Linked DNA regions of Saccharomyces cerevisiae S288C. Changing the gene in region 3 together with the main gene of any one other region gives a genetic interaction. Each region holds a gene or a part of one and is shown on either strand. Other genes may lie near its edges. The genes, in order: SRT1, CAX4, SEC59 and GPI18.

Region 1 (8,180 bases), 170 kb from region 3:
TTTACGCTTTGAAGGCTCTGAGAAAAGCATATATTGTATCGAAATGTGAAGTGACACATACTTTAGCGGAGAGGACTGTCCTAGCAAGAGTTGACTGCCCCTTTATTGTTCCGTTGAAGTTCTCATTCCAATCTCCGGAGAAGTTGTACCTAGTATTAGCTTTCATTAATGGCGGTGAACTGTTCTACCATTTACAACACGAGGGACGATTCAGTCTAGCACGCTCCCGTTTTTATATTGCAGAACTATTATGTGCTCTCGATTCATTACACAAACTTGACGTCATTTATCGTGACCTAAAGCCTGAAAACATTCTATTGGATTACCAAGGACATATTGCACTGTGTGATTTTGGGCTTTGCAAGCTGAACATGAAGGATAATGACAAAACAGACACTTTCTGTGGTACTCCCGAATATTTGGCACCAGAAATCTTGTTGGGGCAGGGCTATACTAAAACAGTTGACTGGTGGACATTAGGTATCTTACTGTATGAGATGATGACAGGGCTGCCACCATACTATGATGAGAACGTTCCTGTTATGTACAAGAAAATTCTGCAGCAACCGCTACTATTTCCTGATGGATTTGACCCTGCGGCAAAAGACCTATTAATTGGCCTCTTAAGCAGAGACCCAAGCAGAAGACTCGGCGTTAACGGTACAGATGAAATTCGTAACCATCCTTTCTTTAAAGACATCTCATGGAAAAAGCTACTTTTGAAGGGCTATATTCCGCCTTACAAGCCAATTGTAAAGAGTGAAATAGATACTGCAAATTTTGATCAAGAGTTCACTAAGGAAAAACCGATCGATAGTGTAGTGGACGAGTACTTAAGTGCAAGTATTCAAAAGCAGTTTGGTGGGTGGACGTACATTGGTGACGAACAGTTGGGTGATTCTCCTTCGCAGGGGAGAAGCATTAGTTAGAAGCAAGCCGAAGCAAGCCGAGCCGAGCCGGACGGAATTTATAGCTATAGCCGCAAGAGGTTGCAATTTTCAAAAATGGATAGTTCAAGTAGATTGCGATACGCACTCCGTTACTATTGTGGTTAACGGGGACAAGAAGAACTACAGAAAATAGAATGGTCCGCAGAGGCTGCGCTCTTCTTTTAGCAACTCTCACACGACTTATGTTGCTTATTCATTTCTTTTACAGCATTATCAGAATTCTTCCATCTACGGAATTGAGATCAAAGACCGACCTGTTGTCGGCCGAAGGACGGACGCTTATACCCGCGGATGTCAAAGCGAAGCCCGCGGGGCGCAAGTCGAGGTTACCGGAATTCGCCAAACGGCAAAGGACCCTTGCATTGCCTGAAAGGAAAGATTCGCTTTTCTGTTTGTTGCCACTTTTCTTACATAGTCTGGGCCGGGAGCAGCTTATTTCTTCCGCGGATGATCCTGGATTTCCTTGCGCGGGCTCAGCCATGGGGAGCCTTACCTAGTCCCGTAAAGGGAAAAAGCTAACCTCATTCGCCTCACAGGGTGAAAGCGTGAACAAAAAAAAAAGAAAAGCTTAATGATTAAAATTTACAGTATATATATATTTGTATTTACGTATTAAACTATATATAAATAGATATGTATGCCGAAAAAGTAAAGTCTGGGTGATGCCTAGTCCAATCTTTCTTACTACTGTCCAGTTTCTATCGTAGCAGTTAATTATACATAGAACTGTGTAAATTCAACGCATTAATTTTTTTTTTTTTCACTTTCGCAGTTAGGGGGGACACATTTTTTTTGCCCTTTCTTAAGCTTCGTAAGCGAGTTACATCATTATTTCTTCCTGGGATACAATACGCGTTCGTACAAGTCACAGCTGGACCGTATAGGGAACAAGACTGCAACTCTCTCCAACTTGTTAAACAGAGGAGGAAAAGAAAGAGGGAAAAGAGGAACAAAGACAATCAAAGAAAAAGAATAGAAAGCAGTTGCTGAGCTCTTGGCATATTGTATACGGTAGTGGCGTATAATATAGTACGAGAATTAGAAATATGACGAATATGGCGGAGGATAAAACAAGTATAAGCAAGGTACATTCTGAATTCAGCAATTCCTCGAATACCACTGGATCTGAAGAGGAGAGTCGGTCGCATCAAGAGAGCTTCGACGGCGAGTCCAGTTCCGGTGAAAGTAAAAGTAAAAGCAAACTAAATCTTGAATATTCTGCAGATATCGAGCCATTGAAGTTCAGAATGACAAAAACTAATAATACAAATGACAAATTAAAATATAGTAACAACGGCAACGCCACTGATTCATTTATGAGACTAAAGGAACATTTACAGAGAGGCAATACTTTAAATTCGAATCTTAGGGTCAATGAGTTTTACCCTTTCAATTCCATTGATACAGAGCAATTTGAAAACTATTTGAGAGAGCCAAAATACATTAAAATGTTGAAACGTCGGAAAAACCTGAAACAATTTAGAAGATTGTTTCTCGCGCAAGAACTAATGGCCTACGAAGGTGAAACGGTTACCTCCACTTCCAAATCATCTGAACCAACCTCTAAAGCTATATGGAGTACAAAGTTTAGCCGCGATGGAAAATTTATGGCCACTGGTAGCAAAGATGGTAAAATAAGAATATGGAAAGTTATTGGCTCTCCAGTTGAAAGAGCCGAATTGGACTCGAGTGCGGAATCAAATAAAGAGGCACGAGCCAAGTCGATGCGGATCAAACAGCAGGTCAGTTCATTGAACAATCCAAAAGAAAAACAATTTTTGGATTCTGCTACAGAGAAATACGAAGAGAAGGAAAAATTATTGAATTTGTATGCGCCTGTCTTTCACCCAACGCCTTTGCGACTGTATAAAGAACACGTGCAAGATGTTCTGGATATAAATTGGTCTAAAAATAATTTTATTTTGTCAGCATCGATGGATAAGACAGTAAAACTATGGCATCCCGATAGGAAAAATTCACTTAAGACATTCATACATCCTGATTTTGTCACTTGTGTGGAATTTCACCCCACCGACGATAGATTTTTCATTAGCGGCTGTCTGGATCACAAATGCAGGTTATGGTCTATACTGGATGATGAAGTTAGCTTTGAGTACGATTGTCAAGACTTAATAACATCTGTTACATTATCCCCTGAGGAGGGAAAATACACTATAATAGGAACATTTAATGGATACGTTCATATTCTGATGACCAGAGGTCTCACTCCAGTTTCTTCATTTCACGTAGCTGATAGACAAACACAAGAACAAAACGCTCACGTCATGGTCACGGAAACTGACTCAAAAATTCGTCATGGTCCACGTGTGACGGGTTTGCAAGCTTTTAGATCTCAACTGGACAATTCTTTCCGCTTAGTAGTTACATCGAATGATTCGAGGATAAGAATTTTTGACTTAGAACAGAGGAAGCTTCTAGAGGTATTGAAAGGCTTCCATAGCGGATCTTCCCAACACAAGGCACAATTGTCCATCTGGCATGGTCAGCCAATCGTTGTAAATAGTAGTGATGACCATTGGGTTTACGGCTGGAGGTTAAAGTCTTCGGATAGAGAGAATGATCAAGACGAACCTAAAAGGAAACCAAAGGGATTGGCTCGGTCCGGAAGTTTGAGAAGCATATTTAGTAAATCAATGAGTAGGTCTTCCAGCCAGAATAACGAAGAAAAACCACATCATCATTTAAAACTTACTAACTTACTTCCCTTGCCTCATCATAGCAACGATCATTATATCAAAAATACGGATTACATTTCTTTTCATGCACACAATGCCCCTGTTACTTGTGTTAGCATTGCACCGCCAGAAACTTCGAAAACATTATCTTTGTCTAACGATGTTATCTGCGAGCTATCTCTAGAGTTTTTTCAGACATCCGATAGTTTCGATGTTTTGAGTCGGAGTAACGACGATGGCATAATGTCAGATGTAGAGTCGTCTTTGGGCTACAATTCTAAACCAGGCTCAATTTCTAATGCTTCCGCCACCAGTGCTATCCCAGATGTCGTTGACGCAATTGGAACGATATTGATCAGTACTGATAACGTAGGGACTATTCGTGTGTTTAGAGCAGATATGCCCTCTGTTATAAGAAAGCGCGTGTTACTCAAACTAGAAGAATACAATAGAGAGGTTCGGAGAAGGTTTAACAGTTCTGATTCTTTGCATTCTTTGAGTCGAAGCTTCAACTCGAGAGCGAAATCAAACTTGGCTGGCCAACCGGCAGCGGCGTATACTAATACTGGAAAAGGCTATGCAACGGGACGTGGATACTCTAATATATGTCCCAAAAGCAGTACATCACTAAAAACACTCGGCAGTAATGCACAGCCAAGAACACCAAGGGAAAGCATGTCATCTATTTTCTCCAATGCACATGGGCCTACCACTCCAACGAGCGCAATGAATTTACCTATCCGTTGCAATGTTTGTAACGGTTCAAGGTTTGAGGCTTTTTCTGGTGCTAATGACCAACAAGATAGAAACTATTATTGCGTAGACTGCGGTACAGTAGTTAATAACTTCCGCTAACGCTGATGGAGTATTTTTTTTCCGTGGATGATACCTTTAAATGCATATTAATCTTCGTACATAAAGTAAAGAAACACGATACACTTAAATAAATTTTAATCTAATAATTAATGAACGCTAACAATGAGCCTATCATTTGTTGCCGATATACTATAACGTATCTCTTCGAAAGAACAAAACGGAGTGAGTGCCTGTTAAGGGTAACTACTCCAAACTGAGTGGACCTCGGCGGCTAAAGCTATACTTTTTCTGTTATTTAAGGGACCTAAAAATACACACAGAGTAGATTAAGATTTGGTGCACTTTTCTCAATTTATCAACTTATAAAGAACAGGCTGCCTTTCAAACATAGGACGTTTCTGTTGACCATAATGAAAATGCCCAGTATTATTCAGATTCAGTTTGTAGCCCTAAAAAGGCTTTTGGTAGAAACCAAAGAACAGATGTGCTTCGCAGTGAAAAGTATATTTCAGAGAGTATTTGCGTGGGTTATGTCATTAAGCTTGTTTTCATGGTTTTATGTAAATCTTCAGAATATTTTGATAAAAGCATTAAGGGTAGGGCCAGTGCCTGAACATGTCTCCTTTATCATGGATGGTAACCGGAGATATGCCAAGTCAAGAAGGCTACCAGTAAAAAAAGGCCATGAAGCTGGTGGGTTAACGTTACTAACACTACTGTATATCTGCAAAAGATTGGGTGTAAAATGTGTTTCCGCCTATGCATTTTCTATTGAAAATTTTAATAGACCAAAAGAAGAAGTAGATACGCTAATGAATTTGTTTACGGTAAAGCTTGATGAATTCGCAAAAAGAGCCAAGGACTATAAGGATCCCTTATACGGATCTAAAATAAGAATAGTAGGTGATCAATCTTTACTATCTCCAGAAATGAGAAAAAAAATTAAAAAAGTGGAAGAAATCACACAGGATGGAGACGATTTCACTTTATTTATATGTTTTCCTTACACTTCAAGAAATGATATGTTACATACTATTCGTGATTCAGTTGAAGACCATTTGGAAAATAAATCACCAAGGATTAATATAAGAAAATTTACTAATAAAATGTACATGGGTTTCCATTCCAATAAATGTGAATTATTAATCAGAACAAGTGGGCATAGGAGGCTCTCAGACTATATGCTATGGCAAGTACATGAAAATGCCACCATTGAATTTAGTGATACGTTGTGGCCAAATTTTAGCTTCTTTGCTATGTACCTGATGATTCTCAAATGGTCCTTCTTTTCCACCATTCAAAAATATAATGAGAAGAATCACTCATTGTTTGAAAAAATACATGAAAGCGTTCCTTCAATATTTAAAAAAAAGAAAACAGCTATGTCTTTGTACAACTTTCCAAACCCCCCCATTTCAGTTTCGGTTACAGGAGATGAATAAGTAAAAGTGCAAAACTAGAAAGCCCAAGAGAGGGCAAAGAACATTCTGAAAACTCCCTGATTCTTCCATACCTATTACCATATTACATCATTTTTAATTAGTAGTCTTTTAATTATCTATTATATCCGGTATATAAAATATCCTTGCGCCAAGTGTATAGCTAATAAAATGTAAAAAAAAAAAAAATTAGGAACAAAAAATAAAAAAAGCGAAAACAAAAAACTCCGTTAATGAATATTTCATGATCTTGTTAAACCTAGGTCATCGAAATCCCCTTGTACTTTACTCAGGTATGCTATTTTCATCCCTATTGCTTATTTCATCAGGTACGGTGGTGGATATATTAGGAGTGAACGTACTGGTAGAATTCGAAACATCAGCTGCTGTAGTAGCGGTGGCATTTAAAGAACTAGGCTCATTTGGGGTATTGACACCTGTGGTAGTATTCGTGGATCTCATATGACTTGATCCAACTTCGTGACACCAATACCTATGATATCCCCATGCTTTTAATTGACACTTTCGTGAGCAATATTTCGTTCTTTTGCATCGACGACATTTTGCAAATTGTCTTGGAAAATCTTCCCATTTTCCGCACGAAAAATTGGCACACTGACGCACACCTAAGATCTCATTTTTTCGACATGAATTTCTCATGATGACAGAACTCCAATATATAACATCATGTGTATTTTCTGCGCTCACTGTATATTTTTCGACTAAGGGGAAGATGTTTACAACATTTGTTAGTACCTTGTTTTTGTAAACAATATTTGTTAATTCCTTTTTCATTTTATCGTAGCTCCAGCGCCTTTCAAAGTTATCAGATATTTTCTTCCTTAAATTAATTCTTTCCTTGTCTTTGCCATAGGCATTGTCGTCGCTAGGTTTCGGTACACGGTAGCGCTCAAACAAATTAAGAACGGGACAGTGGTTATTACATATTTCATTTTGTTCTTCTTGTTGACATCTGTTTGAGAGTTCTTCTAATTCTTTGAAAAATGGATCCATTTTGCTAGTATCTAGTGCCTTAACTTTGGAATTGTTTTCAGGATTTTTCGATAAATAAGGATATAATGAAGACAATTTTACAGTTACGTCTCTTTCTTGTTCTTCTAAGTCATTCTCTTCTGAGATTCTCTGTTTAATTTTGTAAGCCATACTTCTGAACGATAGGGATTCAACCAGCTCAACATTTTGAAGGGTTGATTTCATATATGTATACTTCGAAACAAAAGCTAATAACTGAAGCGACCATATAACGTCGTCTTGTTTGGGGACAATTCTTCCGAGAAAAAATTCACGTGGAGTGGAAATTGTAGGTCTATTAATGTCTGGTTGCGAAAAGAAATTCTTATGTGCATCAAAATTTTCACTTTCTACTTCACTATCAATATCAATGTCGTCGTCGTGTCTTTCCTGGTCAGGTTCAAAATTGCTAGCTAGGTCTGCAAACCGGCCCCATATATCACTAAAATCAGTTGGAATTGTCATAGACGGTGCCACTAATCGTTCGTTTAGAAAATTTTTGTCAGTTGACAACTTCAATTTATCCTGACCTGTAATGAACTCTATATACTGCTGATATGTTTCATTCTCATCTTTTCTCATGAATTTATACATTGTCTCCGTGGTTATCCCTTTGAAGTCAAAGGTCATTGTTTGATCTTTGATGAAGTCGTAATTTTTATGATATAGTAAATAGTTATCCAATACTGTGACCAGCACAGATAAGACCCCAGACATTACCACTTTTTTACGAATTTGTTCTGTCCCTCTAGTACCTGTCAATACTAAGCACTGAAATGTTAAAGTCCATTTCCAAGCGCATAGTGCTAGTCTTTTCTCCTTCCATAGATCCTTTATGTTTTCGTGCTCATTAAAATTTTCTAAATCCAAATCCAGCAACTCAAACAAACTTAAATGACAACTCCTCAATATTGAGACTAATCTTTCGAGAGCACCGTCGTTAGCTACCGTTTCCCTAACTTTTGATGAATTAGAGGTTAGATATGTTAAGTAGTTTAGGGAGTTTATTAACGGAATACTAGAGTTGATATCCAATGCCCTTCGGTCATAGACAGTAGATGTTATTGTTACTATAGGCTTGTTCGACGTTAATGATCGATGATTAGAGTCTCTCATTTCTTTACCTTTTCTTTGTTTTGAATATTTCAAATTACGTTCTATACGCTGTTATGATATGTTAATATAGCAAAAACAAACAAAAACTCCCAGGGAAATGAATTGAAAAATGCAACAAATAGGGACCTCAC
Region 2 (7,691 bases), on a different chromosome or scaffold from region 3:
CTTTTTGGATTCAACGTGGAATCTCATATAGTGATGTGTCCTACCTTCTTTATCTAATTTTTTGGTAGATACTATAGGCCTGTTTCTTGTCCATTTGTCATTCGTTATAAGCTCACCGTACGCTTTCAATCTTTCTTTTCCCGTAATGCCATCGTCGCACTGTAACAAACTTCTTATATCTTTGTTTTTCTCTACCATAGAAACTGCTCTGTTGAAAAGCTGTGTATCACCTGAAGGCGAAAATAGTTCTGAAAGAATTAGGTAAATAACAATAGCAGATATACCAACAGCTCCTATCACAAGTATGCCAGAAAAGGTGAACGTAGAAGCGGATTTTACTTGAGGCCATAATGGCTTAGGTTTATTCCTAGTCTTGTCATCCTTCTTTCCTGATGTTGCGCCGGTGCCATTACTATATAATCTTGTTCTAAGCAGTGACGTATGAGTTATTACCGATGAGTTCACGAAAGTATTATATCGTGGAAACAAAGGCTTTCTATGTCCTAAACGGAGTAAAGACCTAGGCAAACTTGAGCTCATTGTTTAAACTTGGAGTCAGGAAAATAATATACGAATGATTTTACCAACCTGATATCTAAAATTAAATTTAGAACTATAACCTGCTGTCACTGGCGGAAAAATACGCCCTCAGGTTTGACCTAGTAGAGCTGAACATCTTTTCACTGCTTTCTGTATCCTTTATTTATTGGAGCTTCCGAAACTTCCCAAGAAAAGTGAAGAAAAAACCAGGAAAATCAAAAGACATGACGCATATAATGTACACCTTTTTTTTTTCGCGGCCAAAAATTTAACCTACTCATCTAGATCAGTGGTTGGTAGAGCAGTATTCCGTCATTTTTCATGTCCAGGTTCGAAGCTGACCTGGTATTATCCGGTTTTTTTTCTTGTTGACCAATAGGAAAAAAAAAAATTAAAATAAAGTCACAGAAATTCAATGAATATTATAAATTTTTCTTGTTTGTTTCCCTAGTTGTTATTTTTATAAAAAAAATTCTTGTAGACAATAAAATAAGAAATGCCCATTTTGTAACTTAGCGAAAGATGCCCAGTACATCCCTTTTACACCCGTGCATTAAAGGTGTTTGGGTTTAATAGGAGCTTTATCATATCTCTTTGATTTTTTTTCTGCTGTCCTCGGCTTGAGGGACTCACAGAGATCTGGAAATTTTCAGATTGTCAGTGCTTAGGATGGGTTGTCAGTAGACGGTGGCCGCCGTGGATGGGAAATCTCATACGTTTACACACATAGTGTTTGGAAATTAATAGTAGCAATAGCTATCTGGCTACTGTTTTAAAGTATTAGCCCGTTCTCAGTGCTTCTTTTTTAAGGAATAACAACGGCAAGACCAAAGATATATCAAATATGGCTAAGCAATCTCTAGGTATGTTTGGAGGATACGAATAACGATAGAAAACATGAGTGAATTTCCGTCCACGAAAAAATGTTAACATAAAATGCAAGAGAACAATTAATCGAATAATGTTAAATTATTGTAAAACAATGTGTATGATGAGGAGGAATGTACCTAAGCCAAAAAAAAAAAAAAAAAAAAAAAAAAAAAAAGAAACAGCTTTTGCATATTCAATCCAGGCATAGGGCGACTATTTAGCACTCAACGATTTTTAAGCTTGTGTATTGCTGACATAAATTCCGGCTTTAGAATCCAATATTGAAAAACGTGAGTACGCAGAGGAGATAGAAGAAAAGTAGGAAGTTACCGTTTATATTGATTTGTGAAATGCATACTCCGTTGGATGTGGGGCAACATAGATTTAAGTGTGGATGAAAATTATGTGCTCATTGTGAAAAAAAAGTTTTGCTTTTACTAACAAATTTTTTTATTATTTGTTTTCAATAGACGTTTCCTCTGACAGAAGAAAGGCCAGAAAGGCTTATTTCACTGCTCCATCCTCTGAACGTCGTGTTTTGTTATCTGCTCCATTATCCAAGGAATTGAGAGCTCAATATGGTATCAAGGCTTTGCCAATCAGAAGAGACGATGAAGTCTTGGTTGTTCGTGGTTCCAAGAAGGGTCAAGAAGGTAAGATTTCATCTGTTTACAGATTGAAGTTTGCTGTTCAAGTTGACAAGGTCACCAAGGAAAAGGTCAACGGTGCTTCCGTTCCAATTAACTTGCACCCATCCAAGCTTGTTATCACTAAGTTACACTTGGACAAGGACAGAAAGGCTTTGATCCAAAGAAAGGGTGGTAAATTGGAATAAACTAGCTCGACTTTAACATAGATCATACAAAAAATACAATAAATAAATCCTGTGTTTCTTTTATGTATATTTTTTATCAATTTCAATTTAGTTTAGTTTAGTTTCTTTAAAAATAAAATTGTAATTTCTCACATTCTGCCTTCGGGTCTCAAGGGCTGGTTGGTAGACGAATGCGCTTGTTTCTAGCTGAGCGGCAGATGCATGAATTCAATGCAAGAAAATGAGAAAACTTCCAATATTAAAATGTGATTGTTAATTATTAGTATATTTATGACAATATATATATGTACATAGGGTGATTATGAAGATGAGTAAGATGCGAATGGATATGAGGATATGAATCTTTTTAGAGACAATGAAGATGCAAAGAAGTAGTTAAGCACATTGACCTCAGGGTTGCTATATGCTACTTTTAGTCCGTTGGATTTCTGAAGCAGTATTGGCCACAAAAATTTCTTCATTATTTCTACGATTAGAGTTTCTTCTGGATTTTTCTCGTCCCTGAGACTTACTCCTTTTCAAGTCATTTTCAGCAGCAGCTTTGATTAAATCATATCTTGTGATTTTACTTGGAGAGCTATTGTGATGGGAACTTTGTCTGCATGTGACTGTATTAGTCAGAGATGTTATGGGCTTAACCATAAGGGAAGAAACTATGGCACGCATGAATGAATTACTGCTTTTACTGCTGTCATCTGTTGAGTTTGCTGAGTCTTCCGTTCTTGTAGTCTTGGCTGGTGTGAGTAACATTACGTATTGTTTCTGTAGAGAAGATAACTTATAACTTCCGTCTTGTCACTAGTTGTTTTAATTATATGTTTGTTACAAGTTTTTATGTATAGATATATGTTACAACTTTTAGAAGTATTGTGGACATAACAGAGAGAAGGGAATGTTGCTATATTTATATATTTTATATATTGCCCTCAAAACTGTATCTCATCTTTTTTTCTGCAATCCTTGCTTTCGTAATCTAAGTGTGGGTGACATGCTAAATCCGCGGCTTTCCTTAAGCTTTTTCACAAACCATCTATTATGTCCAGAAGCTCCGCTGATTATCCGTGGAAAAGGGTCTTATTCTGCCGTAGGAAACTTCTTCTCGAGAAAAAAGTGAGTTCACCCGCGGCGCTCTCGTAAAACCCGAGGGCCGATTCTTTCCCTCCGTGGAACAATCGGCCCCGCGGCGTCAGAGGGTATTATCTCCGCAAGTGATAGAACTCACATTTATTCTACGTTCTGCATGGTTTTGATTATCTTCTTTTGCACGATGTCACATACTTTTTCGATTACCGTCGCTTTACACAGTAACTGTTTAAAACGAGCGTTCTTAATTAATAACTGTAGGAGAGCAGGCTTTCGGCTTTCTTTATGAGAAATAAGGACTACTCCAGCTTGCCAAGTTTTATCCAGTTACACAAACGCTCAAGATCGCCTCGCTAAAATAGATGAAAAAATAAGAAAAATGAAATGTTCAACCTAATCCCTTTTGGATTTATCATTGAAAGATCGCTGATTTATTCTTTTCCAATACGCCTCGTAATTCTCTTTCAATGTCAAAGGCGCCAGATTGTAAGAATCTGTCATGTAAAATAATCTGACAATACGTAGTTTTAAAAACCAATTGATTAAACCAAGCTCTCTTATGATGCCAACTATAAAAAAATAAAGTGATCCAGTCAGTGCCCCCACGCTGAATCCCACGATTACTTGATCTAAATTGTGGTAGTGCAAGTAAACTCTGGAAAAGCAAACGCAAAACGATAATAAAGCCAATGCACCAGAAAAAATGCATTTTTCTAAGAAGTTTAGATTCTTCCAGGAAGTGTATATCTTCAGAGAGTTATAGGTAAAACAAAACCCCATGAATTGGGAGTGTGCACTGGGCATCCCGTAACCGGATCTTATAGTGTCATTTTGGAACGACGCACCGAACGATACGGGGCGTGGCTGTTTTATTATATTCTTGATCACGTTATTGAATATTTCGTTCATCAATTGGCCAAAGGCTACAATGCAGGCTTCTAACTCTCTTGTGATGATAAACCACGACAAATAAAAAGCTAGCACTAGGATGGGCATCAGCGAGAAATATGCACTAAGGAATGATAGAAAGTCATGCGAATCATAGAGAATGTATGTGTCATCGAATGGTATAACATTTGGATTTGGATTTATTGCAGCGGCGGTACTATTCATGATATGATCCGATTCAAAACAAATTTTGATGTAGATAAAATGCCTGGTATAATGAGTGGTAGAGAAGAAAATTAGACGAAAAGAATGAGAACGAAGAAATGATTTAAAGTGATCACAGTGGCAATCACTTTCCCCTTTTTAACGCGTGTTGAGCAATCGATTGATGTCTCTACCATATGTAGCATTTTCTCAGAAGGCAAACTTTTCTTTTTCTTTCTACTTTTCCAACAAGAAATTTTAAGTTTTCCCAGAAACCCGAATTCTCCTATTTCATCCACCACGTAAGAACGGTTTTCTTCCTGGCGTAATTAAAAGCATAAAGAAAAACTGAACAAGCTCTAGATGTAGATCAGGGTATACATGGTGCGCTTCAGTAAGTGTACTGTACCACTAGTTTGGCGTCTGTCACTTGAATTGCGGATTTGTGTAGAGCAATGAAAGCGCTGCTTCTGCCGCCATCAAAAAAAACTGAGTAGTTATTAAAGCCTATGTATGACAATATAAAAATGTATACAGATCAGTCTGTATATAAATCATGAAAATATCTTTAAAAATTTCAAGAGCGTGTTTCCGCTAAACCTTGTCATATTCAACACAAATCAGTATCATTCTCGGCGTAAATTACATGCGAATCTCCCTAATTGTGATTCAATATTCCAGCGAACCCCGAGAATTTAAATAGAACAGAGTATATGCATTTATTAACAGTTATTACGCCTTGTCCCCAGGGAGAGTAGTAAGGGATATGGGCATTTATAAATGTACATAAGTCACGTTTTTGCAGCCAATAAAATATAATAATAGAATAGTAACAAGGAAAGCTAGGCCAAAACTCCTTACATGGAGCTAGTATACCCCTTTTCTAAGAGGAGTACTTGGCAATCAGTTGATCAACAAGGGCAATGTATTCCTTTTCGGCATCTTCCTGGGATTTACCTTTTAAGTTTTCCCAGGCTTCCCACTTGTAGCGGTCCTTCATGTTGAAAATACCAGGCTTTTCCTTGTCGTTGTCACCTACAGTGGCTTGCTTGTACAGAGCATACAATTCTAATAATTCATCAGTGGAGGGCTTCGTTGGTAGCTCGTTGACGGCTTTAGCTTTTTCTTCGAATAATTGGGAAACCATTTTGCTGAAAACACTAGTTTAACTAATTTTAGAGTTTTAGTCTTCCTTCTTTTGCTTCACACAGTGAAATGATGTACATAACGTACTTGCTTCCGAGACAGACCAATTGATCCAAGCTAGCTATATATATGGCGGTCATTGGGGAGTTGGCCTGGAGCTGTTGAGTTTGCGGACGTGTCAGAGAGCGCGTAGGGCCGCCAGCGCCACCTGTCTTCAGGCACCAAGGCCGTAATCTCTTCCGACGGTCATTTTTTAATGGAATGTTTCAATACGAGAGTTTGTGGCATGTAGTTTAGGAACGGATTATAGAGAATAGTCGAAATATGTTTAGTCCCTACACAAATTGCTAGACTACCTGTTTCGAGTTTCCTCTATTCCTTTGCTAACGGAGCTGCGGTATATAAACCATCGTAGACTCAAAGCCGTTACCCGACAACTATCGGGTATAGTGAAATGCCTATGTTTTCACTTTAAGACCTTAGAAAACTATCATGAGATCTCGCCTTCAGATGCAGATATTTCAGTGGATTCACGAAACAAGAAAAATTCACTGATCGATAACATCTTCCTTTGCTTGATATTCCCTTTTTGAATTTCCCTAACTACCTTTTGTTGTTTACCACATATTCTCTAAAAAGCAGAGTTATTCTTATTTTGTATTTCATTGCATTTTTATCCATTTAGTTAATGACCGAATTAGATTATCAAGGAACTGCTGAGGCGGCTTCTACCTCGTATAGTCGAAATCAAACGGACCTTAAGCCGTTTCCTTCTGCAGGCAGTGCATCTTCATCAATTAAAACGACGGAACCTGTGAAAGATCATAGAAGAAGGCGTTCTTCCAGCATAATTTCACATGTGGAACCGGAGACTTTTGAAGATGAAAATGACCAGCAACTTCTACCAAATATGAATGCTACTTGGGTAGACCAACGCGGCGCTTGGATTATTCATGTGGTCATTATCATACTGCTGAAACTATTTTATAATTTATTTCCTGGTGTTACCACAGAATGGTCGTGGACTCTGACTAATATGACATATGTTATTGGGTCCTATGTCATGTTCCATCTGATTAAGGGTACCCCTTTCGATTTCAATGGTGGTGCTTATGACAACTTGACGATGTGGGAACAAATTGACGACGAGACTTTATATACTCCTTCAAGAAAATTTTTGATTAGTGTCCCGATCGCCCTATTCTTAGTTAGTACTCATTATGCTCACTATGATTTGAAATTGTTTTCATGGAATTGTTTTTTGACAACCTTTGGTGCTGTTGTCCCAAAGTTACCTGTTACTCATAGATTAAGGATTTCTATCCCAGGTATCACAGGTCGCGCCCAAATTAGTTGAACATAGTTTATTTCAATCTTGTATCTAGATGTTTTTGCTATATTTATATTTTCTGGGCCAAATCACTAACGCTTTGAAATTTCAAAAGCCAACAACGGATTTCGGACTTCATTTATGTAAATGAAAAAGAATGTGAACAAAAATTGAAAAAATTCCATATTAATGCACCTTCTAAACCTATTTGTTGAAATTGTATTTAATTCATATAATCATATTCTATTCAAAAAGAATAACAGATAGTATTAGCACTATTTCACGTACTGCTTCTAATACTATTATCACAAAATAGACATCGGAAAACTCAAAAATAACGACAACTGCAGGACTCGAACCTGCGCGGGCAAAGCCCAAAAGATTTCTAATCTTTCGCCTTAACCACTCGGCCAAGTTGCCAATGTATACATTGCTGTTTCCTGGTTTGAAGAAGCTAATCGTGCACGTAAACAACAATCTATACTACAAGTAAAAAAATGGGGAAAAAGATGCTGAAGGTGAGATATATGTGGGTAATTAGATAATTGTTGGGATTCCATTGTTGATAAAGGCTATAATATTAGGTATACAGAATATACTAGAAGTTCTCCTCGAGGATTTAGGAATCCATAAAAGGGAATCTGCAATTCTACACAATTCTATAAATATTATTATCATCGTTTTATATGTTAATATTCATTGATCCTATTACATTATCAATCCTTGCGTTTCAGCTTCCACTAATTTAGATGACTATTTCTCATCATTTGCGTCATCTTCTAACACCGTATATGA
Region 3 (8,382 bases):
CAATTGATATGATCGTTTCTTTAATAACTCGATAAGGAGTTCTCTACGAAAAATATCAACAGTGAAATATAATCCGATATAGTGTAACGGCTATCACATCACGCTTTCACCGTGGAGACCGGGGTTCGACTCCCCGTAGCGGAGTTTTCTTTTTGAAGAAATTTGAAAATTTTTTTCTTCACGTCGACCAAGGTTTTTTCCGGTCAAACATGGCCAATAAAACGGATACCATTTCTTGGAAATTATACGCTTCGAAGTATTCTCAAAAAAGGAAATTGTCTGCAGTGAAGATTGGATATAAGGTTCACTAAACACAGAGTAGTAATTGAGCTGTAATTTGTTTACAGAACGAATCAAATCAGCGTAGTGTTACAGTTTATCTGAGACTGCATATCTTTAATCTCTATGAGCGAGAAAAAAGAAGAAGTTAAAAACGCCACCGTTAAGGTGACTGTCAAACTTCCAAAAGAAGATAACCATTCGCATAATACGAAACATCTCAAAAAGACCCAAAGTTCAAAAAATAATGATATATCTTTTGAAATCGGCAAGGAATCCAAAATTCAAACTGTTCTAGATGTGTTGGCTATGATTCCAAGTTCCAAGTACCTGACAAACGTTGGGCTGAAAACAATTGAAGGTGACTCCCAGCTATCTGATGAAATGTCTATAAAGGAAATTGTTGGTGAGAAAAGCGAGTTAAAACTTCAATTGATACTGAAGCCATATAGCGCAAGAGAGGCTTTGAAACATGTGATTACTGTTCGCGATTTCATCGGATTTGCCCAAGAAACCTCAGATGGATTATCTGAATTTGCTATTTCTACTGGTTCAAGCTTTTCCTCGTTACCGTTGGGTCCTATCAAGGAACGCTCAAAACAAGAAGAAAAAGACGAGAAGAGCGATCCAGAAGAAAAGAAAAATACTTTCAAAGATGTGACTGACGAGGAAAAACTAAAATTTAACGAGATGGTTCACGAAGTGTTTTCTAGCTTTAAGAATTCTTCAATTAACAAACTTCTCACCTCTGAATCCAACATCATCACGCCGTGCGTCAGGTCTTTGAGTTTCGCACCTTACAATCCTGTACCTCCATTTTATAGAAGTAAAGGTCATCTATTTTACCTACAAATTGTCACTTTGGAAGGTGAGAGTTTCTATATCACTGCAATTCCATCTGGATTCTATGTCAATAAATCAAACTCAACTAAGTTCGATCCTTCTCCAAAAGAAAACACTGACGAGAACGCGCACTCATCCCTGATCTATTACAGTCTATTTGACTTGATTGCTTCTCGCTCTAAAAAATTCATTTCTCATGTCCAAGCATTCGAGAAAAAACTATCTGCTTTAGATTCTACAAGCTATGTAAGACCAAGCAATACTTTCTTGCATAAACCATGGTTTGTTTCTTCATTGCCACCAAATAACCCAGATTATCTGAGGTTACAAACTGCCGCCTTGGATACCACGCCAGAAAGAAACTTTAATGATGAATTTCAAGCCATTAAAGATTTGACTACGTCAACATTACAAGATCGTATTGAAATGGAAAGGTTGTTTTCTAAAGTTGTACATGAATTTTCTGTTACTGCAGCATCAGGCGCTATGTCAATTTTTTACAGTGATTTCGTTGCAATGAACCCAGAATCTCCAACTCGGGATCAAATTTTCTTAAAAGACAATATCTTTTATTCCTATGTTTCCGACGTTAGTGGCAATTATGAAGGGAAAGGTGGGGATGAAGCTGCAATCGCTGCTTCCAACCAAGACTTGAAGACAATCAATATTTTGAATCGCTTGCATATGCACGAAGTTCGTTATCTTTTAACAACTGTAGTCGAATTTGCAGGCAGAAGAATTTTGGCTCAAACTCCAGTACCTGGACTCTTAGCTACCATGGGTAACAAAATTGTAAAAGATGCTAATACCGGCGAAGAGGTTACCGAAGATTTTGTCAATGATATTAATGTAAAGTACGGCCTTGATGAAGGTTTGGGAAAGATTGTTTATGATGCTGACTTTGATTCTGTTTTAGAAAAAAAGTTTGTCAAGGCATTCCATTTGAAAAAGCACAAAGTCAACGGTACTGAATTAGCATTTTCATCGCAATCCAAGGGAATAGTTGGATTCGATAAGAGGCGCTATATTTTGGATTTAGCCAACACGTATCCCTTGGACATCAACTTTGCTAGACAAAACTTTGACAACATCGAAGAGACTGGAAACCGTTACCCACACAGGCAAACTTTGTTACGTCCGGAGTTAGTAGAAAAGTGGTGGAATAATAAAGTTGAGAAGGAAGGTGTTGAATTTGAAAAGGCCTATGAAGAAAATTTGTTTAGTTATAACCCTGATGCTTACCAGGTCGAAGGTATTGAGGACGCTAATGTTGACGAAATGTCGAACTACTTACAAAAAGAAGTTATTCCCAGCGTTATTCAAGATTATTTATCTGGAAATTTGAGCACTCCTTATAATGGTGAACATTTAGCCGATACTTTACATAAGAATGGTATCAACATGCGTTACTTGGGTAAAATTATCGAGCTTTCTCAAAAGGAATTGGACTCCCAAATTGTCCACTACGAACAAAATTTGAAAGCTGTTGAACAAGACAACAAAGAATATGAGGATTGGGAAAAATCTTATCTGCAAAAAATTGAGAACATGATTAAAGAGAGACAAGCCAAGATTAATAAGCTGGTACAAGAAGGCAAAGAGGTTCCAAAAGAACTAACTGAAGATTTGAAATTAAACGATGAAGAAATCAAAAAGCCCACCGATGGAAAACCTGTGGTCGTTGCCTATGATGAGCTAGTGCCATTAATTAAAATTTCCGAATTAGAAATTGTTTCGCGTTCTTTGAAACATGTTTTAAAAGATTTGAGTAAAGATGTTCCGGTCTTCTTGGTTCCATCACTGGTAGCATACGTTTTCAATATGTTAGTTGGTATCAACTACAATGCTGATCCGAAGCCAGAACCAGTCGACGAATTTTATCCAGTCAATAAGTGCTCATTTGCTAAATTAACACGCTCCGAATTGCTGGAAGCTGTCTCTAAACAAGCCTTCTTGCGTTTCCGTCATCAATTACCATCCAATTGGATCGAAGCTTACATGGAAAATCCTTTCACCCTCATTAGAAGTGTTTCTTACAAATTTGGTATTCAATTGCTCAATAAAGAATACTTCTTTACTAGAGAACAATTGGAAAGTTATAAGCAAAGTCTTGACAAGAAAATTAGGAACAAGTTTGTCGAACCACCAACTACCTTCAGTTTAAGCGATTTGACCATTATTCCACGTGTTAAGTTCTCAGAATATACTTCTTCAGTTAGTGAGGAATTTTGGGCTCAAGGTGCTTCTATGATCAACGAAGACAAACAAAGTGCTTTGACTTTACTCGCTCAATCAATTACAGTCTTAGAAGATGTTAACAATATTTTACATCCCGCCGTTGCTGAAAAGTACTTGTCATTATCTGCCATTTATAATAAGTTAGCATTATACCCTGAAGCTATCGCGTTCTGTCGTAAAGCATGTACTATTTATGAAAGAGTTAGCGGTATTGATTCTTTTGAAATGATGAGGGCTTTAACTAATTTAGCAATTCTAGAATTCTCTAATGAAAGTCCTTATAACGCTACTGTGGTTTATAATAGGCTCGCAGAAATCCTAAAAGTTTATGAGTTACCAAAAATCCATCACCCAGCCCCCACAAGCATTTTCAACCATTTGGAACAATTAGCCCTAGGTGTTCAAGATACCAAATTGGCTATTGAAGTCTTGGGACAACTAAGCTCCTATGTTGTGGAATTAGAAGGCAAAGATTCATTAGCATATGGCTATACCGAGTCACGTTTAGGTAATTTGTTTGCAGCATTGAAGGATTTCCACCGTGCATTAGAGCACATCACTGTAACCCAAGGGATTTTCACCAAGCAATTGGGTATGAATCACACGCACTCAGCCCAATCAAGACAGTGGGTTAATGGTTTAAGCTCATTAATAATGGATTTAAAACAAAAGAAGCAACTTGCACAAGATCAAATGTCGACAACGGGATCAAATTCAGCTGGCCATAAAAAAACCAATCACCGTCAAAAGAAGGATGACGTTAAACCTGAATTGGCTAACAAAAGTGTGGATGAGTTGTTAACATTTATAGAAGGCGATTCTTCCAACTCTAAGAGCAAAAACAAAACCAACAATAAAAAGAAGCATGGTAAGAAATAGAGAGCTAACTTAACAATCTCGTTTATTTATTATTTTTCTTTATATCTATAGCCCATACTTGTATATACTACGTGTAAGTACTAGATATAAAACGAAAAAAAAATACTTACAATTATTTTTTTTTCTTTACTGCTCTATTCTTTTCTTTATTCTATTCATAAATGCAAACAATTAGTTATGTAATTTTAAAAGTTGAAAATAATTGACTTTGTCAAAGAGTAATTAATTTTTCACAAATCATCATAAATGCAGGTATCAAAATATTGTCATTAAGCACACTATTACCTTCTAGCACTCCACTCAGTGTACAAAGGGTAAGCAATTGTAAAGTAGTTAGGTGGTTAAAAATTGCAGCTTTATCAAAACGTAACAATACCAAACAAACGATAAAACTCGTTACTATAAACGCAAGAGTTCCCTCTAAAGTTTTTTGTGTACCTTTCCAACGAATGCGGCCATACCTTTTACCAATAATAGATGCTAAGGAATCACCAATTCCCAATCCTATTAGACCCATTGGAGAGTTATTCATTAATAAAGGTGTTGATATTCCGAAGAGTAAATAAAGGTATGATATGATCAATGGCCCGCTGTGGTCCCTATCATCAGCAAACCTTCTTAGTTGTAATTCAATAGCAGATCCTAACGGCGGTAGGTTTTGAAATCTTATGTACTCAATTGATAAGAAGACTGGTATTGTTCCGGACAATGCAATTTTCACAAAGTTTGAATCCATTTGGAATGACGGTATTATGAGTAAGAAAATGATGAAATGCCACAATTTTCGGGAGGTGTTCAACGATAGACTGTCCTTCTCGATCAATATACTTGGTATGGACAGTATAAGAATTGAAGACCAAGCAAACAAAATCTTTTGACGAATAGTAGACTCTAAGATATATTTTACCAGCCAAAGTAGCGGATTTTCACCGTCTTCTAAATGAATGAAGGTATTGGCAAAAAGTGGAAGCCCGATGGCAAAGGATATTGACAGCATAAACGGTTTAAAGTGCATTACCTTTTTGAGCACATAGTTAATTGAAATTATTGTTGTGAGAGCAAGGATAATGCCCTTCAAAATTCTAAAATGTACTGTGCCAGCCTCTGAAACGTACAGAATATTGGTTAATAGGATACTAAAAAGATTAGAGTCGATATTATCTAAACTTTTCAATTGCCCAATATACTTCAAAATTAACGACAGTAAAGAATTTATTACTATGCTAATAATATTCTTTAACCTGTCACCAGCCTCAAAATTAAAAAATATGAGGCAGAGCTGTAAAATGATCACTACCAACTGAGTTCGCCATCTATATGAATTTAATACCGAAAGGATCAAAATAGTATTTATCACCGTAGATGATGTATCGAACAACAACGAAACCATAAACGGTAAATATAAACTGTAAATGGTATCGAACTTGGGTAGGCTTTTGTAACCATGTTGCCAATATTTTGTGAATATCAGACCAACCATTATCAAACACACCACAAAGACATTTACAAAGATTTGTTTATAAGATATATCAGCGGTAACAATGGACCACGGCTGAAGCCTTTCAACACAGTAAAAAAAAGTGCCCAACAATATAACAGTTTGAACAAAATTCGAATAAAAGCACTCAAAATCTCGAGAATTCCCGCCCACATCAAATTTACGAGTCCTCATATTGATTTTGCAGATCTCCTCAGTTGGCATTTGGCTTCCCTCAGTTTTCTGGGTTAGTTTAATTGTGGTAAAGGAAGCATGAGGTATTATAGCGACCATATAGGCAATGAACAGAATAACGACAGTTTATTGCCTCGAAAGGAGTCTGATTTACTAGCTAAATTCTAATATTTGGCTTACTACAAACTCTATCTTTCATAGAATACGTCCTTCGATACCATTTTCACCATCTTGACTAACAACGTGTACAACTCTTTTGAAAATTACGTGCCTGAAAACCCAACCATTGCGGACAGCCCTCAATAACGTATCTTAGCATTACCCGCACACCCATACATCTAGAACTTTTTTCATTTCTGAAAATTTTTTTTTCTTCTAGGATTACTTCGGGTATAAATAAGAGACGCAGAAATGGTTATTGGCAATTAATGCTTCCTCTCTTTAATAAGTTACAATATTAGAATCCTATGATTTCCATCACAAAGATCAATACAAAAGAAATATTCAGATGAGTGGGAGCTATGAAAGGCTGAGAGAGAAATTGAATCCATAAAACGTTTTTTTCCGTGTTCTTTTTTTCTTCTTTATCAAAGTTAGTTTTTCAGATATGTCTTTTGTCATTATCACAGGCTAATTATTCCCTTGATGACCAAAATAAATTTTTACAAACTAGAGTTTCTGAATCTTTTGTGATTAGAACGTTTATTCTTATTTCTGAGGTTTTTAATTAGCAATAAAGAAGAAAAAACTGAAAGGAAAAGTCTAAATAGAAATACAGTAGTATTTCTTCAATTTCTCTGCTCTCCTTTCATTTACCACACCCATTTCAATTTTCTTTTTATTCCATATTTATTCAAAGGTGTTTGTTCATATGATGATTATAACAAAAACAAAAGCTGGAATTACTGGCTGAACGAGTATATGTTGATACGTTTTTGCACTATCCTGACCTAGCAAACACCTTTAAAATAAATACTAGAAAGTTGACACATTTCCATAAATTGGAAGAATACATTTAAGCTTAGAAAACAGTAGTTTTTTAGTGCTATTCTTCCGTAGATTGATGTTTTCGATCTATTTGATACAATGGAAATGAGGATCCACAGCACTGGGCACTGAGGGGGAAACAAATATCCTTTCAAATGAGTGACAATGCTTTAGCGGGCCTAGAAAACCCGCGCAACTGATCCATTGTAAGTTTTTCTGAGGGCTAACAGAATTTTCTATAGGGAAGAATGGATTTTTTTCTCATTTTCGTATAATTATGTGAATTGGTTTTTATGATGAGATATTTATAGATGACGAGTCTGATCATTCGTGAAGACACAACTATTAAAATTACCATTCATGCCTTTCTGAAGCTGTTTACATTATTCTTTTCGATTAGCAAAGAATTTGGAAATAGAAAAAAATCGACAGATAACTAGTTCATCAGTTGATGTGTCTGTATTGCTTCCATGTTTTTTAAAGAAAATTTCTACCTTAGAGACGTCAATGCTGCAGAAGATGAAACAAATTACTCAAATAGACAAGCATATGTCTGATCTTCATGATTGAAAAGAGCAATTAGTGTCTGATGCAATTTAAACTAGAAAATTTATCTGAGAGAGATGAGAGATCGTACAAACTGTTTCAAGGTTTTTAACTTTTCTCCAATTTCAAAAATTGTTTATGATGATTTCCACATTTCACGACGGTCAACTGCGTTTTTCGAATGTTTATCGATTAACTTTGATGATATTTCGCCTGTGACAGGGCGTGGTACTGAGCTTTAATATTTTTAGCAAATTTAGAAATTGGGTCAAGCGAACCATTGTAATGCTGACTATTTGGACGACTCTAATCTCTTCAATATATTTGAGTTCAAATATATTAACTTGAGTAAATTTTCTCTTGCGTTAATTATAACTAATTGTGATGTGATGACAACTTCTTGAGCTATATATTTTCTTGAGAACATCAATGAAGAAAACGTCTCATCAAATGATTTGCACGTCAGTCTGATCACAAGCCATATAAAATTCTTTAAGTATTTTATCCATTCTACCTTTTTCATCTGTTAGTGATCGATTAAAGCAACACCCAGACATTACATGGCCCATATGGCAAAAATTTTCATCTCATCTACCTCATCACTGTGTGCATTTAGTGTATGAATGACTACTTTAAGCAATTTAACCAGTATATACGTATAAAGAGGTCAAGTGTACGGATAACCCAAAGGAAACATGCCTTCCGAATCATCCGTCTCTATCTACAAGCTTGATCAGTTGGAGTATCAGTACCATTATTTGACAAAATCATTACAGAAGTTTGAACCAAGATATCCAAAAACTGCCAAATTATACAATTGTATAGGTAAAAAGAACAAAAAGAAAATTGAAAAACTGTTAAACTCTTTAGAGTTGAAAACTTTGGACAAAGAACTAGATGAAAGTTACTCAAAGTTACTCAATAATAAGATTCACTAT
Region 4 (8,212 bases), on a different chromosome or scaffold from region 3:
ATATTCCGCATCAACGCGATGCGGATCAGTCCCTCTTGTCACATCATATTTTTCTACCACCATTCCGTTATAATCAACAAATGATTTTGTAATCATGTACAGCCACCTATAAGCCAATCTTGTAGCTACTTGTTGATAACCATATGCAGATAAACCTTTCCAGGCTAATATTTGGTGCGGCGCCCAACCAAAAGGATAATCCCATTGCCTGATCGGTCTATCAATAGAAATAGGACCTCTTGATTTTTCTGTGCATGCAACTAGTCCGCCGAGCATTTCTAACTGAGGAAGAGCTTTTTCTACTGTGATTTTTGCTTGCTCTTCAGTTGCAAGACCAGCCCACAAACTCCAAAAAGTCGTTGCAGACTCATAAGACGTTCTGCATTTCAGTTTCGTGTTATAATAGAAGAAAAACCCTGAATCTTCGTCCCACATATACTTATTAATCCTTGTTTTCCTCAGTTCAGCTAGCTCCTCCCAGTGTTCAGAATCGGTTACCGTTCCATCATTCTCATCTTTATATTCATTACCAAAATACTCCTTAATGACGAAAGCAATATCTTTCTCATATTTATAGAGCAAGGAGTTTAGATCAATTGTCGCTAAATATGCACATACACCTTCAAACCTATAAGTCGTGTCATGTCCTGACTCTCTCACGGCACGATCATGTAAAAAAAATGCATCCAGTTTGGGTTCTTTAATCATGCCTTCGTTATAAAGGTACCTAAGCTTTTCCAGAGTAACATTGTACTTTTCAGCATACGGTAATAATATAGTATCAAAATGATCTGGTTCAGTTTCCGGAGGGATACCAATACCATCAGAATGATAACAAGACAGCCCTGTCAGAGAATCTAACCTAGGGCTCGACATCCACACCTCTTTATATTCTTTAATAGCAGCTCTGAACGCGCGTTTTAACAACTGAATAGCGTTTGGATTATTCTTACCTCCTATCTTTTCAAATACGAGCAGAGCCATATCGGTTAGGAATGGTGGCTGAGATCTGCAAAGATAATAACTCCTATTAGCATTCAAAATTTTACTATAGTGATCAATTTCGAATATAAAATGCTCCACCATACCTCTTGCAACATCAACCTTATTACTTTCTATGAGTCCCAGTGCCATTAAATATGAATCCCAGCCATACAATTCATTGAATCTACCGCCAGGTACCGCATAAGGATAACCAACTAGGGACCTTTCACCAGTAGATGGATTAACGTGTTCTTCCATAGCCAGGGCTAACAAACCCGGTGTATCATTTAATGATTTAACATACTCTGCTGTAATATCTTTTGGTAAGTACTCCACTTCAAGTTTTAAGGACGGGTTCATTTGAGATGCCTGAATGTAAAATTCGTACTGCTCTGGGCAGTTATATGGAACATAAATTCTTGGATTTTTAGCGCCTGGCGTATCTATTTTTGAGTCTCTAGCAATTTCTGCAATATTATAAAGATCAACTCTTCTCGTTAAACTCGTCCAAAATTGAGTCGTTATCAATCTTGATAATCTATCAACAGGGTTTTCATTTATACGCGCCTCATCCAAAAATATTTGGTGTCGTCCGAAACTTTTTGCAATGGTTAGTTCCTGCAACAAGTTAGAAAGCATATATGTTCCCCTAACATTTACATGTTTGAAACCGTTGGAATTGGCCGTCCCGACTTTAATAACTTTGGGCCCAGTGTCTTCTATGGTAATTTGGTGATTCTTGTCTGTGTCCTCACTAGCGAGCAGCTCATCTAAAGCGAGATCCACATTATCAATATAAAATCTACGGTTACCTTGGCTGCTGAGGAAGCTGTCGTCTTCAGAACCCCTCCTTTTCAGGGTATAATCCTTCATTCCGTTTTTGAAGTCAGAAACTTTATTGAAAACACTCATAGTTCTGGTTCTATTTAGTCTATGAATTTTTGACTGTTTTCTTGGATCTGTTATTGGTCCATAATAGACCTCTGCGTTGGAAAACGGGTCAAAATACTCATGCATAGAGGACAACCGCCGGTGATGTCTTCTACCACCTTGTTGCCCCTCTTCTTTCAACGGCCGCTGCTCTGAACCACTTGAAAGTGGCTTTATGTTATCTTCACCATCATTACCTTCGGATGGAGGATTTATTTCCGTTACTTTTGGTAAAAAATCTACCATTATTTGAGTATATGCAGGTCTCCTTATATACCAAATGTCTGATCCGAACCTGCGTCAAATATATTTGCAAAGGAAAAATATAAATAAATAAATAAAATTGAGAAATAAAGAATATTAGTTTTAATGGAAAACAGTTCCTACAAGCGCTATAACATATGAAATATACATTAGTCGAATATTAACTTTGGGAGGTAATTACAATTCCTATCCGCTTTATATAATTTAGTGGAACTGGCACGCCGCTCGGAAAAATTGGACTTCAAATTACCCCGCGCGGAGATTTGCATTATAAACTCTATAAAGATGCGTGAATTTCTACTCATTTATTACTAATTATTTGAATGTTCTTTTGCGAACTCATTTATCTTGCTCATTACTCTATAAATATCTATGCCATGTGGTAGGAAAAAAATGCAGACCTTTCTTAATTCAACTTTTTTTCTTTCAAATCGATGGGGTCCCCATTGGTTTCCTCGTCATAATCACCTTCCTCTAATCTGTACTCTTTGTTTAAAAAGGATTTGTGAAACGAAAATTTTAATAAAATCCATGCCATCCGTATAGGTCCAAACTCTGGCCATAAACAATCCAGCAATTCGATGCGTACGCCCTTACTCGATGCCTGCCATATCAAAAAGTCACTTAATCTGGAAACGCCACTTGTCCTAATCAATAAATCTAAAGGGGGTACCCCCGCCGTGTAGAGATGCGATTCTAACGTGCTTTCGTCTATAGCGGCGCCCTTCTTATGTTGAACAATTGTTTCTTTCATGGCATGCAAGATTTCTTCCCTGCCTGTATATGGAAAGCAGATATTTAACGTGGCCCTTTTGTTGTTCTTTGTAGTTTCCACAGCAACCCGAACATCTTCTAATAGAGACTTATCCAACAAAGAGAGATCGCCGATAATTTTAATGCGTACCCCATACTTACAGGCCAGCTCTCCACGTTCTGTGATTTGTCGTATCCTTTCGCGCGCTAAAGTCATCAGTGATTCAACTTCCCGTGAGCTCCTCTTGAAATTTTCAATTGAAAAGGCAAACACGGTAGCCGTATCGACTCCTGCTTCATAACACAGTTCTAAGATTCTACTCATACTAACAAATCCTGCCTCGTGGCCCTCCTTTACGTCCATCTCTTTCTTTCTAGCGAATCTCCTGTTCCCATCCATGATGAACCCAACATGTCTAGGTACACAGTTAGATGCACGCAATGTGCGCGAAAAGATGTTTTTTGTCCACTTTAACACAAATGAATGACCAGGTATACCACTATCCGTTTCCATACCGTCTTTTACCTGTGTTTACCCTATTTTTACTGCTTAAGTTCTATTGAAACCTGTCATTATTACGAAAATTTTTTTTTTTTTCATTCTAAGCATTTTGTTGGCATCTTCGGAAAAAGCCCGAGCGAGGGTAACAGGGTTAGGGGATTAGAAGATTAAAGTAAGACACATTATAATCTATAGAGATTTTCTACAACACAAGAAGTGTGCCATTCAGTCCGAATTGAGTACAGTGGGACGATGTTTCAAAGGTCTGGCGCTGCTCATCACATCAAATTGATTTCATCTCGAAGATGCCGCTTTAAATCCTCCTTTGCAGTTGCTTTAAACGCTGCCAGTAAGTTGGTAACTCCCAAGATTCTTTGGAATAATCCCATATCATTAGTCTCGAAGGAGATGAACACATTGGCCAAAAATATAGTTGCCCTCATCGGGTCTGGCCATCCGGTGCTAAACAAGGTTACTAGTTACTATTTTGAAACAGAAGGCAAAAAAGTACGTCCCTTGTTAGTGTTGTTGTTGTCAAGAGCACTTTCTGAAATTCCCATGACAGAAAGAAATCACTTGAAAATTGACAAGTCGGATGTTCCTGAGGACCCAATTTACTCTAAACCTAGTCAAAATCAACTATTTCAACGTCCTGCAAGTAGCATATCCCCACTACATATTCTTCACGGTATTAAACCACTAAATCCCTTGACAAAAGGTCCTGAGCCTTTGCCAGAAGAAACTTTTGACAAACAAAGAGGGATTTTACCCAAACAGAGAAGATTAGCAGAGATTGTAGAGATGATACACACTGCGTCTTTACTTCATGATGACGTTATTGATCATTCTGATACAAGAAGAGGAAGGCCAAGCGGAAATGCTGCCTTTACCAACAAGATGGCCGTTTTGGCGGGTGATTTTCTCTTAGGGAGAGCAACAGTGTCAATTTCAAGATTACACAACCCCGAAGTCGTAGAACTAATGTCTAATAGTATTGCGAATCTTGTCGAAGGTGAGTTCATGCAACTGAAAAATACTTCCATTGACGCGGATATCGATACCATCGAAAATGGCCATAAGCTACTTCCGGTTCCTTCTAAAAAGCTTGAAGTTAAAGAGCACGACTTTCGTGTTCCAAGCCGCCAACAGGGGCTGCAATTATCTCATGATCAGATTATAGAAACTGCATTTGAATACTACATACACAAGACCTATCTGAAGACTGCTGCTTTGATATCAAAATCTTGCAGATGTGCTGCTATATTATCTGGGGCATCACCTGCCGTTATCGACGAATGCTATGATTTCGGTAGAAATCTAGGTATATGTTTCCAACTCGTAGATGATATGCTTGATTTTACTGTGTCTGGAAAAGATTTAGGGAAGCCATCCGGCGCGGATCTAAAATTAGGTATTGCTACTGCTCCAGTCTTGTTTGCATGGAAAGAAGACCCATCTTTAGGTCCACTAATTTCACGCAATTTTTCAGAGAGGGGTGATGTTGAAAAAACTATTGATTCTGTGAGACTCCATAATGGTATAGCGAAGACGAAAATACTAGCGGAGGAATATAGGGACAAGGCATTACAAAATCTACGGGATTCTCTTCCTGAATCTGATGCTCGTTCTGCCCTAGAGTTTTTAACTAATAGTATACTAACAAGAAGAAAGTAAACCTTGAAATTTCAAATAAAGGGTGAAGAATAAAGAGAAAATGAAGAAGGTCATAGTGTCGCATTATTCTATATTCTATATGTAAATAGTTTTTATATGTTTTTAGTAAAAGAAGAAATATACAAGCATTAAGGATCAGGCTGGTGGTAAAAAAGCTGCAAATAGGATAGTCTGTAAAGGTATCCAGAATGCCAACCAGTATATGTAAAACTTGACTATCTTATCGTCACCTTTCGGATTTTCCATTTTTTTTGGATCAGAAGTTTTAACCAATCTATCAGCCAAATACCAAAGGTGCAAGGGTAAAAAGGAGGCTATACGATTCAGAATTTGGACATGGGCAAAAAAGCATACTATGACGACCAGTGCTCTGGTGATCCATACGAGAGCCTTCAAGTTATAGGAGGGATAAATTTTGCTGAAATATATGGAGGAATAGATTAAAATAATAATATTTGGGACAGCAAACAAAAAGTTTGGGATGTTGTTTGGGGTCCAGTATTTCAATAACCCAACTCCCCAATAATGACTCTGAATGTAGGAATATAAAGAAGTTTTCGTGATAAAAATGCTTGAAAACAATTGAGATTTACACCATTCACCCCTTTGAGGACAAAATGTCTTATATGGTAGGTAATATTGTTGATATAGTAGAGCAGAAAACATTAATGATCCTGATAATAGTGGGAAACATATTGCTTTTACAAACTTCCTGTTCTTTGTTAGTTCAATAAGGTCAAAAATAAAGTAAATCCCTAACAAAACACAGTTTGAACGATTCAAGGATGCTAAGGTAAAGCAAGCCATGCTGATAAAGGAGTAAGGAAACCAATATCTCCACGAAATATCGAATTGACCCAATACGGGCACGGAAATGGAGCATTCACGACTCCAAATACCAACAAATGCAAAAAAAAAAGATAATGGTTCAGAATATATGCTTGTTAAAAATCCAGCGGCACTCGTTAAGAAAAACAACAGAGATGTTTTTTTAGCGATAGTTCTAGCAAACTGTGATTGCCTTATATTTTGGCTGAAAATTTTTTTTGTTAGAAAATATAAAACAATACCTGACAAGTAAAATAAAACATTTTCTATTGCAACTCCAACCCTTAAGGCATGGTAGATGCTATCGTTATTACTTTTAATAAACAGCCTAACGAAAAAAGTCCACAACTGAGAAAACGCGTATTCATGCTCAAATTGAGGTTTTCCGTTTTTGGAAGTTATGTTCTTGATAAAAAAAACACTGTCCCATGATAGTAGCTTATTCCAAAAATACTTGTTCCAATAACTGTTGATTTCAGAGGGAGAAGAACATAATTCGTTTAATAAAAGTGATGTTGATGTATCAAACTGCCTAATTGGAGTCAAAAAAACCAGTAAATACTGTATTGAACGGAATAATACAAAATAAAGTGTCAACCCCACAATCATATTTTAATTTAGTCTTATTCCGCCTCCTCTCTCGAAGCCTCTCTTTTATGTCTTTTTTCGATGATGAGGCTTACTTTTTTTTTCAACTAAGCCTTGAAAAAAAAAGTTTGATTTAAAAGGGATTTTCTATTTTAAGTATTTAAATGACCGACAGGAAGCTCATGCAGAAAAGGCACCTGTAATAGCTTATTGATCATTCCAATAAATAGGAAAGTATAACTCGAATTAAGAATAAGGAATGGGACTTATTTCATACGAAAATGAGGCGATAAACGAGGTGAAAAAGGCAGATAACCATCACGTTAGCAAATTTGTGACTAGTTACTATGGGCCATCATCGTCGTCATGGCAGTCAGGAATATGGATTTTGTTTGTGCTGTTTGTTGCCGCAGTAATCCTTATAATACTGTTCACTTTTGTAGCGAACAGAAGGAGACGAAGGATGGGGCGTGCTCCCATTAGAGGTACGGCATGGTTGACACCGCCTTCATACAGACAGTCTCAGCAACAATATACTGGGACCGTTCAGCAACGGACAGATGATTATGTTCCTGAGTATACAGAAACAGCGAACGAACATGATCTTGGATACTATGACCAGCGGGGCGAGTTTCACCCCAACGATAAGGCTGCATACGTGGCCCCCCCGCCATTGGTACAAGAATGTTCATCAGAATCTGTTAATTCTTTAGAAAGACCTCCCGCTGCTGTAGTTCACCAAGCTAACTCTTTAGATACGGATTACGGTTTAACAAGGCCTAGCAATGGGCGCGTTCCAGCTGTAAGTGATACGGTGGAGCAATTGGAAAGGCTTCCGGGCGGGACTACAACGCAGGAAATTAACCCACCGGAGAGGGCAAAGGTAAATGCAAGGTCATGAACTGAATCTTTTTTTCCGGCTGTCCTCTTACAGTTGAGTTACAATATTTTGCCAGAAATATTTACATTTTTTTACCCAATCTCTATAATAATTATTTTAATTCCTAATCCGCTTCAGGCCCGCGGTCGTTGAAGTGCTATAGTTTATATTCAGTACATTGTCTTTAATCTCTCAGTATTATTTTATCAATAGTAAATACTTCAAGTCCATCGCACGGCGTGGTGGTGATAAAGGGAAAATGCGCGCGGGATTAGCAAAGGCGGCCAATGGATTAAGGGTGACAAGATAGCACCACATCACATCACATCACCATCAGTAATGGAGAGGAAATAGGGTATAAATACTCGTCAGAGATCAATAGATATTATTTCGCAACGTCCTTTATTGTTCTGTTCTTATTTGATCAATTAAGCTAGAAAACCAGCTACATTAAAAGCAAATTTTACAAACTACTATTTCAACATGACTTTGAGTAAGTATTCTAAACCAACTCTAAACGACCCTAATTTATTCAGAGAATCTGGTTATATTGACGGAAAATGGGTTAAGGGCACTGACGAAGTTTTTGAGGTGGTAGACCCTGCTTCCGGCGAAATCATAGCAAGAGTTCCCGAACAACCAGTCTCCGTGGTTGAGGAAGCGATTGATGTTGCCTATGAAACTTTCAAGACGTACAAGAATACAACACCAAGAGAGAGGGCAAAGTGGCTCAGAAACATGTATAACTTAATGCTTGAAAATTTGGATGATCTGGCAACCATCATTACTTTAGAAAATGGTAAAGCTCT

What was found.
Region 1: of SEC59 (region 3) and SRT1, extra expression of one rescues a mutant of the other (dosage rescue), as found in Saccharomyces cerevisiae (2 studies listed by BioGRID).
Region 2: of SEC59 (region 3) and CAX4, extra expression of one rescues a mutant of the other (dosage rescue), as found in Saccharomyces cerevisiae (one study listed by BioGRID).
Region 4: mutations in SEC59 (region 3) and GPI18 together harm fitness more than expected from each alone (negative genetic interaction), as found in Saccharomyces cerevisiae (2 studies listed by BioGRID).

Annotation. Positions count from the first base shown.
Region 1 is NC_001145.3:466,169-474,348, reverse strand, and holds SRT1 (ditrans,polycis-polyprenyl diphosphate synthase), read left to right. Parts: upstream 1-4,872; coding exon 4,873-5,904; downstream 5,905-8,180. Other genes in the region: putative protein kinase YPK2, read left to right, coding at 1-929; YMR103C (uncharacterized protein), read left to right, coding at 1,085-1,447; LAF1 (Laf1p), read left to right, coding at 1,997-4,501; MYND-type zinc finger protein MUB1, read right to left, coding at 6,187-8,049. UniProt on the Saccharomyces cerevisiae protein: With NUS1, forms the dehydrodolichyl diphosphate synthase (DDS) complex, an essential component of the dolichol monophosphate (Dol-P) biosynthetic machinery.
Region 2 is NC_001139.9:554,428-562,118, forward strand, and holds CAX4 (dolichyldiphosphatase), read right to left. Parts: upstream 4,442-7,691; coding exon 3,722-4,441; downstream 1-3,721. Other genes in the region: TIM21 (Tim21p), read right to left, coding at 1-540; 60S ribosomal protein uL24 RPL26B, read left to right, coding at 1,385-1,403, 1,881-2,245; YGR035C (uncharacterized protein), read right to left, coding at 2,645-2,995; YGR035W-A (uncharacterized protein), read left to right, coding at 3,138-3,359; long-chain fatty acid transporter ACB1, read right to left, coding at 5,304-5,567; sphingolipid homeostasis protein ORM1, read left to right, coding at 6,255-6,923. UniProt on the Saccharomyces cerevisiae protein: Non-essential protein which is required for efficient N-glycosylation. Necessary for maintaining optimal levels of dolichol-linked oligosaccharides. Hydrolyzes dolichyl pyrophosphate at a very high rate and dolichyl monophosphate at a much lower rate.
Region 3 is NC_001145.3:290,729-299,110, forward strand, and holds SEC59 (dolichol kinase), read right to left. Parts: upstream 6,011-8,382; coding exon 4,451-6,010; downstream 1-4,450. Other genes in the region: translation initiation factor 3 subunit CLU1, read left to right, coding at 406-4,239; BUD22 (Bud22p), read left to right, coding at 8,140-8,382. UniProt on the Saccharomyces cerevisiae protein: Catalyzes CTP-mediated phosphorylation of dolichol, the terminal step in de novo dolichyl monophosphate (Dol-P) biosynthesis. Dol-P is a lipid carrier essential for the synthesis of N-linked and O-linked oligosaccharides and for GPI anchors.
Region 4 is NC_001134.8:239,124-247,335, forward strand, and holds GPI18 (GPI-anchor transamidase GPI18), read right to left. Parts: upstream 6,545-8,212; coding exon 5,243-6,544; downstream 1-5,242. Other genes in the region: alpha,alpha-trehalase NTH2, read right to left, coding at 1-2,160; RER2 (ditrans,polycis-polyprenyl diphosphate synthase), read right to left, coding at 2,585-3,445; COQ1 (trans-hexaprenyltranstransferase), read left to right, coding at 3,686-5,107; RCR1 (Rcr1p), read left to right, coding at 6,783-7,424; UGA2 (succinate-semialdehyde dehydrogenase (NAD(P)(+))), read left to right, coding at 7,887-8,212. UniProt on the Saccharomyces cerevisiae protein: Mannosyltransferase involved in glycosylphosphatidylinositol-anchor biosynthesis. Responsible for the transfer of the second mannose to the glycosylphosphatidylinositol during GPI precursor assembly.